Drosophila melanogaster: one gene and its partner. The protein of the gene in region 1 interacts with the protein of each later gene in a pairwise test. Each region holds a gene or a part of one and is shown in the gene's direction. Other genes may lie near its edges.

Region 1 (5,819 bases):
ACAAAATGACAACGAAAAAAAAAAACAACAAAAAATCTCACGAATTAAAGATTTATAAGTTTTTTACTAAGTTACCAGGCCCGCACGTTTTGTTAGTCTGTGGATAACATTTTCCATCCGCTTTCAATTGATATCCTAATGAACGATAAAACCAAAAATAATATAATAATAATACATTGGTTTTTCATATACTTTTTTAAAATTATCAGTTAAAGCATTGAGTAGTTCTATAAATAGTCATACACAGCTGCTGATTAAATTGGGCACCATTTTTGGTACAGCGAGATTAACCATTTTTTCAGAGATTTCTTACCTGTTTGACAAACGAAAGAGCTTTGCCACACGCCGTTGACATCCTGATATCCCTGCGGAGATGTCGGCTTCTAGGGGAATATATTTGTATAAGAATAGACACCAATCCTCAGAGTAAACCACATTCGGTTACCGCGATGTATGCTTGAGCACTTCCGCAAGGCACAAGGGTGATCAGGCAGGCAACCAGGGCCGATCTGAATGACTTCACAAGCATACTGTTTAACTTGCTTGCTGATCCGGGAGCTGAGACACAGATTCGCGATGTACGGCGGTCCGCACTAGGCGAGAGACTAATCGAAGCGACGCTGAGCTCGCTGGGATGCCTTTGGAAAGCATAATTGCTGGCGCTGCGATAACCTTCGTGTTCCAGATAACGGTGAAGGTCGCTTGGGCTGCAGCTTCAGCCGTTCCTAATCCGTCACCGGTGAGCCGGGATCAGTTCGAATCGAAATGTCTGACAGTGAAGTGGGTTTCCGTGTGCAACGGCTGCTGCTGTTAATCTGTCTTGGACTATTTCCCGCGACGGTTATCACCAATTATACACCAAATCCCTGCCAAAATGGTAAGTTCGACTTGGAAGCGTTTATCCGTCAGTCCACTGATGACATCATTCACATCTTAGGTCAGGTTAATGCTTATATCGTTTGCAGCCCCATTATTTTGAATATGTATAGTAACCTGTGCGGAGGTCAAACGGGGATTCAATGCAATCCTTCCAATCCTGTGACTACTGTTGTTCCTGGTACCCCCGGTTGCCCTAACACTCCTCAATATCCTACAGTGGTTCCGAATAATCCATTTAATCCCAATGTAAATGTTGTTCCTGGTACTCCCGGTTGCCCCAACACTCCTCAATATCCTACAGTGGTTCCGAATAATACATTTAATCCCAATGTAAATGTTGTTCCTGCTACTCCCGGTTGCCCCAACACTCCTCAATATCCTACAGTGGTTCCGAATAATACATTTAATCCCAATGTAAATGTTGTTCCTAGTACTCCCGGTTGTCCCAACACTCCTCAATATCCTACAGTGGTTCCGAATAATACATTTAATCCCAATGTAAATGTTGTTCCTGCTACTCCCGGTTGCCCCAACACTCCTCAATATCCTACAGTGGTTCCAGATAAGCCACTTTGTCCCAATACACCAACAACTCCAGCTTGTCCCAATGCCAATGGTCCGAGTTCCTGTAATTCGAACGGCCCATCTTCGTATCCCACGAACGGTCCTAGTATCAATGCTCCTTCCCCAACTTCTCCACCAACTACCACTCCCCCAAGTGTTACTGAGCAACCAGCGCCTGCACCTCCAGCAAATCCAACACCACCACCTCGACCGATCCCAGTCCCAGTCACTACGCCGCCACCGGATCCCATTATCCGGTGTCCGGAGGGAACAATTTTGGTGAAAGGTGTTTGCCGTCTACTTTTCTGCGGGGAAAATAGCTTGTACATCGAAGGACGCTGCATTCAGACCCGCTGTCCTGCTGGATATGTTTGGACGGGTATCCGGTGCTCGAAGCCTCAGCCATTGGAGCTCGGTAACATCCACATAGAGAACACTGTCCACCAGCTCCCAGGAGCTCTGCCCCACCTGATCACCAACAATGTTAACCACGTCATGGTAAACGCCTCCATCACAATCCCAGAACAAGCCTCCGAAGAGGAAGAGGAGCTGGTGGAAGTGGTGGCGCCACCACAGTCACCCTCAAGCCCCTGCTGCAACGTATTCGCTCCGCGGGTCTGCGCCACCCAGGCGGGTCAAGACGGATACAAGTGCTTCAGCAGGAGTCATCATCAGTGCGGTTCCGTCTGCAGTGCCAGGAAGGTGATGCTCGCTCCGGCCGCAGTAGCCAGCTGGACTCAGTCCAACAGCCAGATGGTGACCATCCCTCCCAACTGGGCGGGTCAGGCCTGTCAGTCCAATAATGGGATTTGCCAGCAGCCCCAGAGTGAGTTCAGTAAAGATAGTTGTTACATGCAAAGTAAAGTCCAATTTCATCGTTTTTTGTCCACTTTAGACTTCTACGACTGCAGTGGCTGTGCTATGGGTAACCTTTCGACCTGCTCCTCGTACTGCTACTCCTACAAATGCAGCACCCACAACTGCGTATATTACGACCAGGCCCAATACTGCTCCCAATATGCAGGTCAAACCGGATGCCGTGCGGAAGATGGATGGATGGATTAACACTCGCCAAGCGCAAATTATTGAAAACGTGCTTATCATTATGCAATCAATACCACTCAAAAAACAATAAAAAAAATAAAGCAATTAATAAAGAAAAACAAATTATAATAATCTTTTTTATAATACTTGAGAGCCTTTTTGATAGTTAAAGCCTCTCACAATTCCGTTCAACCTTAAACTTTTTCAGTAATAGTTTTGTCGTCATAGGGGCCATAGTGTTGATGTGATATTTCCGAATATTCAATTCTGAGCTTAAAATTGTGGAAAGCGGATGTGTCTATAATTTAGGTTAATGTCTTAGACAATAATTATTTGTGTAAGTGTACAAATTATAATAGCATTTATCTTATCTCCAAATATCGACTGATGATTATAAATTAAATGATAAGATTAGATTACCCTACGTGCTTCAGCAGAGCTTAGCTCTTTTCTTGAAAGCTCCAATACTCTTACATTAGGGCGGGGATAAGCAATATGTAAGTGCTCTAGTTAACTCCTCCCTTACTGTTTAATAAGAGTGTCCTGATTGACTCAGAGTTAATAGATGGCTCATTGTTTAGAAGTTTATTAGCTGCATTATTGCTGGTACTATGTCGGTTATCGTTCTAGAACCTATGGTTGTACGACTGCGAATTTTGAAAATTTATCTATACAGCTATCTATTCTGGAACAATGTTTTGTAGAGCGATAAAAGCTCTTTTGAGTTTCACAGCTTAAAGAAAATTTTTTTTTTCAGATTACCGTAACAATATTGGAAAAAAGTGGCACCAGTATATCAGAGAATAAGTCATTCATCAGGGTCTGTTTATGTTTTGGGGATGCGTAGCCTTCACTGGCTTGGGAGATTTGGTTCCTGTTGATGGATTTTCCTGTAAGTAAATGAGTTAAAAACAAATATATTGAATATATTACTTGTCTTAATACTTATGCCCACTAGTGTATTTAACCTCTGATTTCCAAATTGAGTGAAAGCTTCGCTAGTAATCAATTCTTTGATAGTGTTATCTAACCTTATCTTCGAAGGTAGGTTCCAGGTGCCGTGATGATGATGGTGCCATAGCCTCCACTCAACCACTGCAGTTCACACTGCACTTTACGCATAGCCGGTCGTCCCAGAAATTTGAAGAGCCAAACAGTTGATAATGGCACATTCAATGGTGAGTTACCGGGATCAGGAAAGTCCTGGAATTCGCAGCGCTTTTAAGCCCCAATAAAACAAAATTTCTGCAAGTATTGTTAATATTTTTCCACCAAAAATCAGCAAAAAAAAAGTTTGTACTTTAATCTAATCATGTGTACAGAAAAATGTCAAAGAAATTGATAATGGTTTTCATCAGCGATGAGTAATTTCTTCGACCTATTAGCTCAATTAAAGAATAGGGGAAAAACACAAATGCAAAAAAATTAATTGAGTTTTTAACTATTTTCGCAGCTGAAACTGGGGATGATGTGTGGAATACTCCACCTGCTGACCTTTGGAGTCATTGCCGAGGATCAGCTGAAAAACAACACAATAGTGGTACATACTCCTCTCCAGAACTACGATCAACCCAATCTCCAGGACTACGAGGAATGCCAGGTGAACAGGGACAATTGCATCAATGTTTGCGCTGGCAAACAGTCGTGCGAGGACGAGTGTCCTGTGTGCCCGGACCTGTACGTCAAGCCCCTGATGGTTCAGGGCATTAACGATACGAATATAGTGGCACCACCCCAGGTACCTATTAATACGACCAACATTATTCGGCTGACCAACGATATCAACAATATAATCGAACATCAAATCCAAAATCGCAATGAGGTCAATGTCCAGGTGAATCAGAATGTCTCGAAGGTGGGAGGACGTTTTGGACTGGGCTACACTGACAAGGGATCGTGCTGTTATGTGGTGCGTTTGGATCGCGAGTGTAAGAATGAAGATGGACGCGACTGCAGAGAAAGAAGCCGTCAGCGGATCTGTGGCGAAAAGTGTCAGGCCAGAGTGATGTTGGCCAAAATAGTGGTGCAGTGTGAAGCCGAGGACTCCGACAGGTGTCACGAAACCATCGAATATGTGCCACGGAGGAGGAGAACCCTCCAGCGGAGGACACCCAAGGCTACACGGTGTCATTACACTGGCAACAGTTGGCCCTACTTCAATTGCGGACAGAATCCAGGCCAAAATAGTGATTTTGCCCAGCCGACGAGGCCTAAGACCTCTATCTGCGAGCACTGCCTCAATTATCCCTACGGATACATTCTGCAAAATGGTCTGCCCGCCCAGTGTGCCGGTTGTTTCCAGGGATACGGAGCTCCCCTCATGTATAATCCTCCTTGGATGTACAATCCATATTATGTGGCATATCCAGCCTTTAACAATATACCGGCCATACAGAACAATAATAATGGCAACAGCGGTGACACCAGTGTAGATAAAACCATTGCAGATGATGATGACGATGGATGGACTCTATGTGACGACATCGAAAAATGCCTAGACGCGGAATACAAAGGCTCGCAGAACAGCGGGTCACCTGAACATCTGGTCGACGACGACGACTACAACGTTTCAGTTCAGCGAAGGAGACGCCGTCCAAGCCGTCACCACTTTGTGAGATCAGCCTACAGCAAACGCAATCGCAAGCACAACTGATCAATTCCAGATGAAACCACAAACTCTTTAGATTTTCTGCAAACCTTTTGCTTCAGAAAGAAATAGTCTAGAAATATTGTATTTCTGATTAACCAAAACTAAGGTGTCTTCATATAACTACTACATTTCTCTACATATTTTACTGAATAAAAGTGTTTTTGCTAACCAAATGAATAAATACAAATGCTATCGAATTCAAAGTGTCGACGGAAAGTTATACATAAATGTATGTATAAATTGCTGCCTGAAAGCTTTGAATATAATTTCATTTCCTTTACAATGTACATAGGTCCGATAAATGAGTGTACTTTAAATAACGATTTATTTGATACGCAGGGTATGAAGCTGGGTGACAGGGCGGGGAGACCTCGTTCTCCTTATGGACTAAACAACGTTTAATAAAATCTGGACTCGTCCTGCTCGAATGCTTACGCTTGCGATCTGGGCATACATAATATTAATAATTTGATTAGATGTGAAAACATTTGTTCTGGCATTTCAATTGCAGGTAGATAGTTTCGAAGGCATCCGGGCAAGAGTTTAGCCCGTATCTCGATGAACATTGGTGGAACAAGACAACTGGAACTTATGGTAATATTGCGCGTGTGTTGATTTTAATTGGTTTGTTCGCTACAAATATAAGGGCCTTCCATTTGGCAGAGAACTCTACTTAATCCCC
Region 2 (9,236 bases), on another chromosome or scaffold:
CAGCATTTAGTTCTACTATAGATCTAATCAGACTGTTAGCAATGAAAGCAAGCCTTGATGTCCGAATATATTGTTCTTTTCTCCACCAGCGCCTCCTTTGAAATTATACCCAAAGAAGCCAACTGCAACAAATCGCCGGTTGTGCATGTGGAGCACAATCTGGGCCTGGAATCGTGGTGTGCCCAGCATGTCTACGACCACGCCCACCGCACCCTCATCTCCCATCGCCGTCAAACCACGGCGCAACAGCTGCGGACGCTGCAGCAGCAGCAGCAGAGCGACTCCCTGGCCAAATACCTAAACGTGGCTCTGCTGATTAATCCCGATGTGACCACCTTTTGGCACATCCGCCGTCAGCTGGTGCAAAAGAATCGGCTGAGCATCAACAAGGAGCTGCAGTTCTCCGCACTCGTGCTCTCAATCAAACCGAAGTCCAATGAAGCATTCGCCTACCGCCGTTGGCTGTACTCATTTCAAAGTAAGTGGACGTCGGCAACTGGGGATCCCATTTCATTCCATTATTTCCAGGTGCCGATGCTATTGACTGGCCCAATGAGATCGGGATATGCGAAAGGGCCGCCGATAGATGCGCCAGCAACTATCACGCCTGGTCGCACCGCCAGTGGATCCTTCAGAACGGCCCATGCCTGCTGCAATCGGAACTGCTACGCACGGAGAAGTTTATGCGGAAGCACATCAGTGACTACAGCTGCTACCACTACCGCCAAGTGCTCCTGAGTCGTGCATATGAGCTCAGTTTTGCCCTTCCCAAGGATTCCGGAGCCAGTGGTTCGTCTACGTTGGCCAGTCTGCAGCATCTAATGACAAGCTATGGCCTGGAATGTGAAGCCAACGCTGAGGATCTGCTGGGTCTCTTGCTACCACATGTGGATCTGAGTTCCGTGAGCAAGCAAAGGCTAATATCATTTCTTTACTGCTGCAACGTTGCCGCCAACGATATGCGTCTGTGTGCCGAGCAGCGCTTGATGTACGGATCGCGGGATTGCTTCGAGCTGCATCGCCGTGCGGCACTCAAGTTCATCGTGGAGCAGTGCGTGCGCCTGCAAATGGGCTTGCCCAATGGCCAACTGTTACCAGTGGCGTCAGGCGATCTGCGTTCGCATTTGGGCAACTTTGACTTTGAAGATAATCCGTTTTTAAGTGCCGTACGGCGCGAGGAGTCCACCCTGGGTGGTAAGCACCGGCGGTGGTGCAATCTTCACCTCAGCTTTGGATATCCAGCGGACTAGACAGCGCGACCTGATAAAGCTCAAATCAATCTACCCCAATAGAATTACTCACTCCCGGCCTTTCCGTTTGCCCATCCGTTCTGAAATGTGGCAAGTGTATAAAGACGTGTGTTTTATTTCCTATCTAATTATCGTCCCAAAAATACAGAAACTTGTGCAAGACAAATTGTTAAAGAGTAAAATACTAGAAAGGAAGACGATTCAAAACGGATTTGGAAACGGAAATGCCTCTATTCTACTCTACTATAAATGTGCGATCCAAAGACAAAGTTCAACTAGCCCGATATGACAACGGATCTCACTGGTCCGCCAATTGCATTTCGATATCTATTAGCGTTACCTGTTCGTTTCTGTTCTTAATCTGATCCGGGCACGATTTGTTAGCCCTTTGTTCAGAAGTAAAACTTAACCGATTATCGCCATGCCATGCACGTGTTTGTTGTTAGCCAATTGCAGTTAGTTTTTAAATAAATCCAAATCATAGACGACGCCTTTTTTATGCAGTTTTGAACGTCGAGCCAGTTCGGCTCGTTCATTTCGAGAATATCGATTCGGTAATGGCCGTAATGAGCACTCAAAATGCATTGTATGGGGGTTTCTTTTGCGCAGAGCAGTTGTAATATGGGATGGTATCGTTTTGTGGCGGTGCAGCCACAGCCATGACATCCCATCCCTTCCCCGAGTGAACTGGGGATTGTGGGGTAACGAGTATCGATTGCGCATGCCTGGGATGCGAGGTGGGATGTGCGAGATGCTGCCGAAGGCCTGAGATGACAACAATTTCAGCAGCGGACTCAGAATCGCCAGGCCGTAATCCCTACCAGCTTTTCAGTGTGTTTCTGGAGCAGTTCGCGTGCGGCGGTGTTTTGTGGAGTGTTGAGTGGCGAAAGTGCTGGCTTCTTTGAAGGCTTACAAACAATTTGTTTCCGACTCGTCGAAAAAAAGTGCATTCCAGTCAACCGAGAAATCAAAAGTAATAAACAAAGTATATTATTCGATTTTTTTTTTTAGTTTGCTGAACGGGGTTCCGTTTGTGGATACATGTGTACAGGCCAAGAGGATTTCAAGGGAGCATTGCATCGAGAGTGTGTGTGCGCTTTTCTGTGCCCGTCTTTGTTTGGTTTTAAAATATTCATATTCGTTTTCCATCCGCCCTCTTTGCATTTTTTATAACTCCCACCCACTTTTCCTGGCCCAAGGGGCGTGGGCCCAAAACTACGCCTCCATCGCAGTTCACTTCATGGGTGTGTGGTGTTCGTGAGGGGTGGGGGTTAGTTTATGATGTTTATGAGTTGATTATGGGCTGCAAAGTACTGTGCCATTGTCTTCGGGACCTGTTCCCTCCGGGCATCCCCAGGATCTTGTCCTGCACCATCCCGTCGTGTCCTGGAAATATACCTCGGAATACCTGACCCTGGGGCACCATCGGCTGCACATGTGTAGATAACACAAAATGGACACACCTGATGATTTTGTGCCAGTGTGGGGGGTGGGGTGTGTGTGCGAAGTTCCTACGGCCAAGGGAGCTATACTCGCGGCTGCACTAATAGCAGCGGCTAATAGGCACATTATTGAGTTGCCAAGTAATCCTACTAGTGGAAACTCAATCTAATTGGTGAGCATTAAGGTGCCACTTCCTTAGGACTTCAATCAGATTAGGATTAGCTAGCCTAGAAGCTTATTATTCCCACCATCCTATTTTTGCGACCGCGAGTGCCAGTGAATGTGCCAGAATGTAGTGAGTAAGTAACGGTAACGGCAACGGAAAGAACATGTGCGCATACGTAGGGCCTATGGCCCACATAAGTATGCAGTGCACGTACGGCCAGGTGTATGTGTGTGTGTGTGCGAGTAACGGTTTCCAGGTGCAGGTGTCAACTCGATAAGCAGCCGATAGATGGCGCTGCCGTTCAGGCCTCGCAACTTTTTCATTTCCTGTTTCCACTTCACAGTCATTCCGCTGCAGGAGAACAATATTTGCGTTTTGACACAGCCTTATACGCGGAATTGGGGGCGTGGCAGGTCGGCGGCGGACAATGAACCCGCCTACGCAGCAAGGACAATAATTGCAGACTGGATTGGAATGGGATGCCCGTGGAGCAGCAGCATGAGTTCGCCGTTTTGGAGCGATGGCAGTACTGGATTCGCAGTGGCCCCACAATCCACATAACTCGCACTACGGGCGCTAGGTTTTGATAAGTTGGCAATAATCGCCGGAAATGGGCAGTCTGCCGAATCTTCACGAGCTGGAGGAGGCGGAGCGCAAGCGGGAGAAGCGACGGGAGTACGAACTTCTGCTGGAGCAGCGGGCTCGGGACACCAGTCGCGAGCGGGAGCGTCTCTCCGCGTTTGCTCAGCAGCGCAAGGTGAGATCGCCTGAGTAGATCCCCCCTCCTTACGACTTATGTATTTTTCTACTCCACTCAGCAATCGTCGTATAATGCTTACATAATGGCTGGTCTGGGGATTGGTGGCGGATCCTTGAGCCTCAATGCCACCTCAGGAACTGCAACAGGCAACGGAGAGCTGCTCGGTGGCAATGGGACAACTGGCGGAAAGGGTCCGAACCAGGCAGTGGGCCCAGCTTCTGGATTGGCCACCAGCTCGGGAGCTCCGGTGGCCACCAGTGGCTTTGCGATGCTGGGACTGGGCAAGAAGTATGCCCCACACTCACACCACCATCAGCATCAGCACCAGCATCAGCACCAGCACCAGCACCATCAGCACCGCCATTCGCTGACCACCAGGCACAGAGTGCTTCGAACCCGCAGTTCAGGAGGAGCCCAGAACGTCTGGGAAGAGCAGATGATGGAGGTGAGTTCTCAGGTGAACACATAAAAAGTCCGCCTCTGTGTGAAAAGCCTTTATATAATTCATGTCACTTGCTTTCCGGCATGGTGACACCTGTCGCATATAAATAGAATCTGGGAGCTTATCTCCCTTTTTTCCTGGACACTCAACTATCATGTGGCGATGTGTGCACAAAAGGGGTGCCCTGTGGTCATTGGTGTGTCGTGAAAGGTGAGTGTTCGGACACGGACTCTCTTTCCAAGTTGAACTACAACTACTTCCCTACTCCGACTACTCCCCCTTTGCTATTGTTAAAGTGAAAGGTAGCTGGCTGTAATACCATTAGCCTGCCAGATGATTGGATTCTTGCTATATCCTAATACCCTTTTCTTGCATCTTTTCCAGCAGCACTTCACCACATACTCGCCGTCACCCATTTCGACGAGGTCGCATCGCATAAATCCGGTGTCCTCGTACCAGGTGCAGGCTGCTCTGGCGGCCTCTCGTCGTCGGGAGTCCATAAACAGCTCCATTGGAGCCACCTCCATACGGCGATTGATAACGCTGAACAACAGGAATTGCCGGCACAAGGTGCCAGCCCATGTGCGCCAAAAAGTGTGGCGCCAGTTTAGCTGTTTAAGCTTGGCCCACGGACTGATGAACTGCGTTCTGCTGCCGGTGATGGCGCTCCAGGGCTCCAATGCGGTGTGGCACCATCGGGAGGAATGGTTGCCCCTCGGTCCGGAGGTTGGATCCCTTCTGCTGAGTGCTCTCTTCCTGGTCGCCGCTGGTATGAGCCTGCCCAGCATTCGACTGATGAAACGATATGGTTATGGGCCACTAATTGTGGCAAACTATATGACAGTGCTCCTATTTCTTCTGTCGCACCTGTACGCCTCCATTTACACCCTTCTACCCGCCTATTTGCTGCTTGGCATGACCTTAAGCGGATCCGCTGGCTCCAAAGCCGCGTTGATTGTCCACTTTGGAGGGAAGTTGAGCTGCTCCTGCGATTCCCAGCAGTCGCAGGCGGCGGTCGATGTCTTGCACGAGGAGCACAAGATGTTTTGCAATCGGGATCAGAAGGTGAGGCGTCTGGCCAGGTGGTTCAGGGTTTCCCAGGACCTGGGTCTCATAGGAGGAGCCCTTCTGGCATCCATTTTGCTGGCCTGCAGCGATGGAAACTTTACGGGCGATTGCTCCGGATTGGTTTACTATGGAAACGAGAGCTGGCCACCACAACTGAGGGATTTCTACAATAGGAACGAGCACGGCGACAGGATCTGTGGGGCAGACATGTGTCCACTCAGAGTGCAGTCAATCCTGGAGGCGGGATGGGCCAATGGGAGCTCCATACCCAGTTCCATCTATGCTGGCTTCATCGAAAGTGAGCCTCGAGTGGCCGGGCAATCCTTGCTCTGGCTGTACGTTCTGTTCTCCATGGTATCATTGACCCTTTCGCTGCTGATAGTGGTGGACAAGGTGCAGGCCATAGGCTCATCGCGACCGGAGCGTTCGAGAGATGTAAGCATCACGGACACCCTGCTGTTTGCCGGACCCCTGGCCTATTTTGTGGGCACGGAACAGGCGTATATGATGGGTGACTTCTTGAGGGCCTTCGTCACCTGTTCGCTGGGCATCGGAATGATTGCCGGCGCGTTGATTGGCATGGGTCTGATGCAGCTCATCGTCTCCTGTACCTTGAGCATGCTGCTAAGGCACGTCAAGAGGATCGTCGTGATTTGTGAGTACCACCAGATGGACACAGGGTACTCGAAGTTACAACGCTCTTCTCTTTGCAGTGGCTGGTTTCTTCTTCCACTCCTGTCTACTGCTGGCGCTGTCCAGTTGGAAGCCCTCGAGTGACGACAGCGCCCTGTTCTACGTGATTGCCGCCTCGTGGGGTGCCTGTAATGGGATGTGGGAGACGCTCCTGCTCTCGCTGGTCACCCTCAACCATTCCAGTCATGTAACGGAGGTCCAGGCGCCTCTTCTTGCCCTTCGCTTCCTGGGACTGGGATTGACCTTTGCCGGTCACGGCTTCCTCTGCGAATCGATGAAGATCATTGCATTGGTGGTGCTCCTCGTCATCAGTGTGCCGCCATATGCCACTCTGGAAATCCGATTGGAGGCGCAACGCAAGGCGACGCTCGTCAGCTTATGACGCAGCATCTTCAGCTAGTCCCGACGAATGCGACGGGATGTCGTGGCCCGGACGCACACCATGTGACATGTTTCGGATACGGATACGGACGGAGAACTGGATCCGGATCCGGGTCGGCGGCCAGATCTGCTCGAATCGCAGCCCGTCAGTATGGAACGACAGACACAAGTCAAGCGACGCAAGCTACACTTCAAGCTCTGTGGACAGAAGTTGGTCGATTCGGAGAGGGATACAGTTTGAAGGATGTTTTAACTGGGGGCAAAGCCGGCTATTGACCTCTGTCCACGAGCCTAGAGGATAAGACTAGTTAATAGGTTTGATCTACACTCATGGGGGGTTCCCTTCTCAGTGGGTGCATTCTCAATTTATAGCATTTGCCAGTGCCAGTAATGTTGTTCCATGTCTATAACCTATCTATCAAATAGAGAAATAGAGAGAAAGGGAGTAAGCAAGAGAGAGAGAGAGAGAGAGAGAGAGAGAGAGAGAGAGAGAGTGAGCGAGCGAGCGAGCGAGCGAGCAAGAGAGGAAGAACATGAGAAGAGGAGAGAAGAGCTTTATGAGCCACAATAAGCATCTAGCATGTAGAACGTTATATATGTACCAGTATATCCGATCTGAGATGATAAATGGATACGATATCAATTGCCGTATCTGTATACATTTATGTATTTCGCCAAAGGCTCCTCCAAAAAAAGGTTTTTGTGTGTATTTCCTAATGTAAACTCCAAGGCATAGGTGTATTTAATTGGAACTCCAGTTTGCAGTTTATAAGCCGAAGAGAGATCTTATCCGATCCGCTCCAGAGTTAAAGCATGTTATGTATGTATGTGTTGTCGGTGTTATGTGCGTTATATAGGTTTCGAGACCCTCCACTTTTGCCTACCCCCATAGATGCATCCCGATTCAGATCCAGAACCAGATCCAGATCCAGAACCAGATTCAGATAAAACTAGCTGCAAACTGTTATGATAACAAGGTGAAATCCTAAGGTCTAAGGTCTAAAAGCAACAATGTTAACATTTTAAAAATTTTGAGAGTAACCATTTTGCGACCCTTGACGATTTCATACATCGGGCTAAGTATTACGAGTATGTTGCTAGCCATATACTACGAGTATATATACATATACATGTACACATAGACATAGGCATAGACATACTATATATTTTTTCTTAGCGCTGGTTCCATCTGAATACTGAACAAAGCTGGTCGCAAACGAATTAAACCGGTGGGACAGGAAGCCAAGTACGATAAGATCGAGTTCTACGTGTATTGGATGTGTGTTGTATATTGTAGGTGTCCATCTCCAGATCCAATAAAGATTTCAAAACAAGTCTATTAGTGAGTGTATTGCTGATTCGGCTTGCTCTCCAATGGAGCAATTAAAACCGCCCTCGTCTTTGCTTAATTGCAAACAACTGGACTCATCTGTGCGGCTGCTAGTGGAGCTTTGCATTGGAGCTTTCACTCGCCGATCCGATCGCGAAAAGCTAAAGATCGCGTCCGAATAGTGGTCACACACTCGTATCATTTCCAGCGGATGTGTGTGTGCGATCGGGCTAGTTAGCTTTATCAATTGGGGGTACTTAGCTAAGTTACTTGCTTAGTTAGTGGCTTTCTGCGGCCCCTGAGAGACGCATTGGGCTACAACAATGGATAAAGATACAGGGGATAAGGACTCCGCCCCCGAGACCAGCGCTTCGCCAGCAACTGGATGGAGCGACAAGCTGACGGATCTGGTCGCCTGGTTCGAGGCCAATCCCAATCTGCCCGAGAAGATCGGTAAGTGAGTCACTGGAATCGATTTCAAATGCGTTTCGCTCCGATTGATAACCAGTCAAGTGGCAGACGGAATTAATGGGCGCGCAATAACCTGTTGTGGTAACAATCCATAAACCTTGTAACAGAGCAGTGCCAAAGGTCAAGTGCATTAGGCACCTCCAGTGATAGCAAGGCACTTCCTCCTTGCTGAAGTTGGACTGACATGCACTTAGCTAGTGCCATATGCACACAGATACATTGGACATTGATTGAGAATTGAGAATTCTATCTTCATATAGTTGCAATGTATCTTTTGTTGTGAGTGCAGTAGCATCTAGCTTATCAAAATTTCCAATTCTTCCCGATAGAACCAATAGTTATGCTACGATTCCTCAAGTGCACGGCTTTTGATGTGGAACGCACCAAGGCCCTGGCGGAGCTAAATTATTGTATGCGCAATAAGAGCCCACATCTGTTCATGGATCGCAACATGGAGGACGAGATGACCGCCGAGGGCCTGAGGGTTTCGTAAGTGCAGCAAAAGATTCAATGAGCGAGTATTAACATTTGCCCTTCACAGGGACCTTTTGATATTACCCGGAGTCACTCCCCAGGGAAATAAGCTCATCTTCTTCCGCATGGCCGATCTGGATCCACGAACGGTGTGTCTCGACTCGGATGTCCGTTTCCCCTGTTGACTCATTGATCCACAATTGTGCTATTCCCACAGCGGAATTCTGTCGAGGAGACCAAAATCTTTGTCATGATGAGTGATGCACGATTCACAAAGCCGGATGTAGAGCGAGAAACAGGAAGCGGAGCTGATTACGTACTAGACGAAGCGGACATTGCCGAGGGCGATGTTCAGATTGTGGACATTGGGGGCTACACCCTACGCCACCTGGCCTACGTGTCCATATTCGTGCTGCGTGTTTACATGAAGTTCCTGCAGGAAGCCTATCCCTCGCGACTCCAGGCCATGCATGTCATCAACTGCCCCACTTACCTGGACAAGCTCATATCCATGATGTCGCCCTTCCTAAGGGAGGAAGTCCGCAACATGGTAGAACCTGAAAAGTACTTCATTCTAAGCACTAGCTAACCAAATCGTCTTGCAGATCCGGTACCACACAGAGGGTATGGATAGCCTTTACAAAGAAGTGCCCAGGGACATGTTGCCGAACGAGTACGGCGGCAAGGCGGGCACTGTAGCGGAACTCAAGGCGAAAGGCATTCAGTCCATCAGGGACAACGCGTGAGTATTACCTTTA

The links. The genes of interacting proteins can lie anywhere in the genome.
Region 2: the proteins of CG3987 (region 1) and CG3078 interact in a two-hybrid assay, tested with the Drosophila melanogaster proteins (one large-scale study listed by BioGRID).

Annotation. Positions count from the first base shown.
Region 1 is NT_033777.3:15,136,397-15,142,215, forward strand, and holds CG3987 (uncharacterized protein), read left to right. Parts: upstream 1-3,561; 5' UTR 3,562-3,650; coding exon 3,651-3,665; exon of another isoform or gene 3,666-3,725; intron 3,726-3,940; coding exon 3,941-5,140; 3' UTR 5,141-5,319; downstream 5,320-5,819. Other genes in the region: CG6912 (uncharacterized protein), read right to left, coding at 76-135, 314-383, 446-529; CG3984 (uncharacterized protein), read left to right, coding at 766-877, 938-2,269, 2,339-2,508; Glys (glycogen synthase), read right to left, coding at 5,807-5,819.
Region 2 is NC_004354.4:2,252,708-2,261,943, reverse strand, and holds CG3078 (uncharacterized protein), read left to right. Parts: upstream 1-2,080; 5' UTR 2,081-2,223; intron 2,224-3,202; 5' UTR 3,203-3,469; coding exon 3,470-3,616; intron 3,617-3,677; coding exon 3,678-4,064; intron 4,065-4,445; coding exon 4,446-5,784; intron 5,785-5,842; coding exon 5,843-6,204; coding exon of another isoform or gene 6,205-6,270; 3' UTR 6,271-7,541; downstream 7,542-9,236. Other genes in the region: temp (tempura), read left to right, coding at 90-478, 529-1,250; CG3091 (uncharacterized protein), read left to right, coding at 7,857-7,986, 8,334-8,493, 8,546-8,627, 8,696-9,028, 9,084-9,220.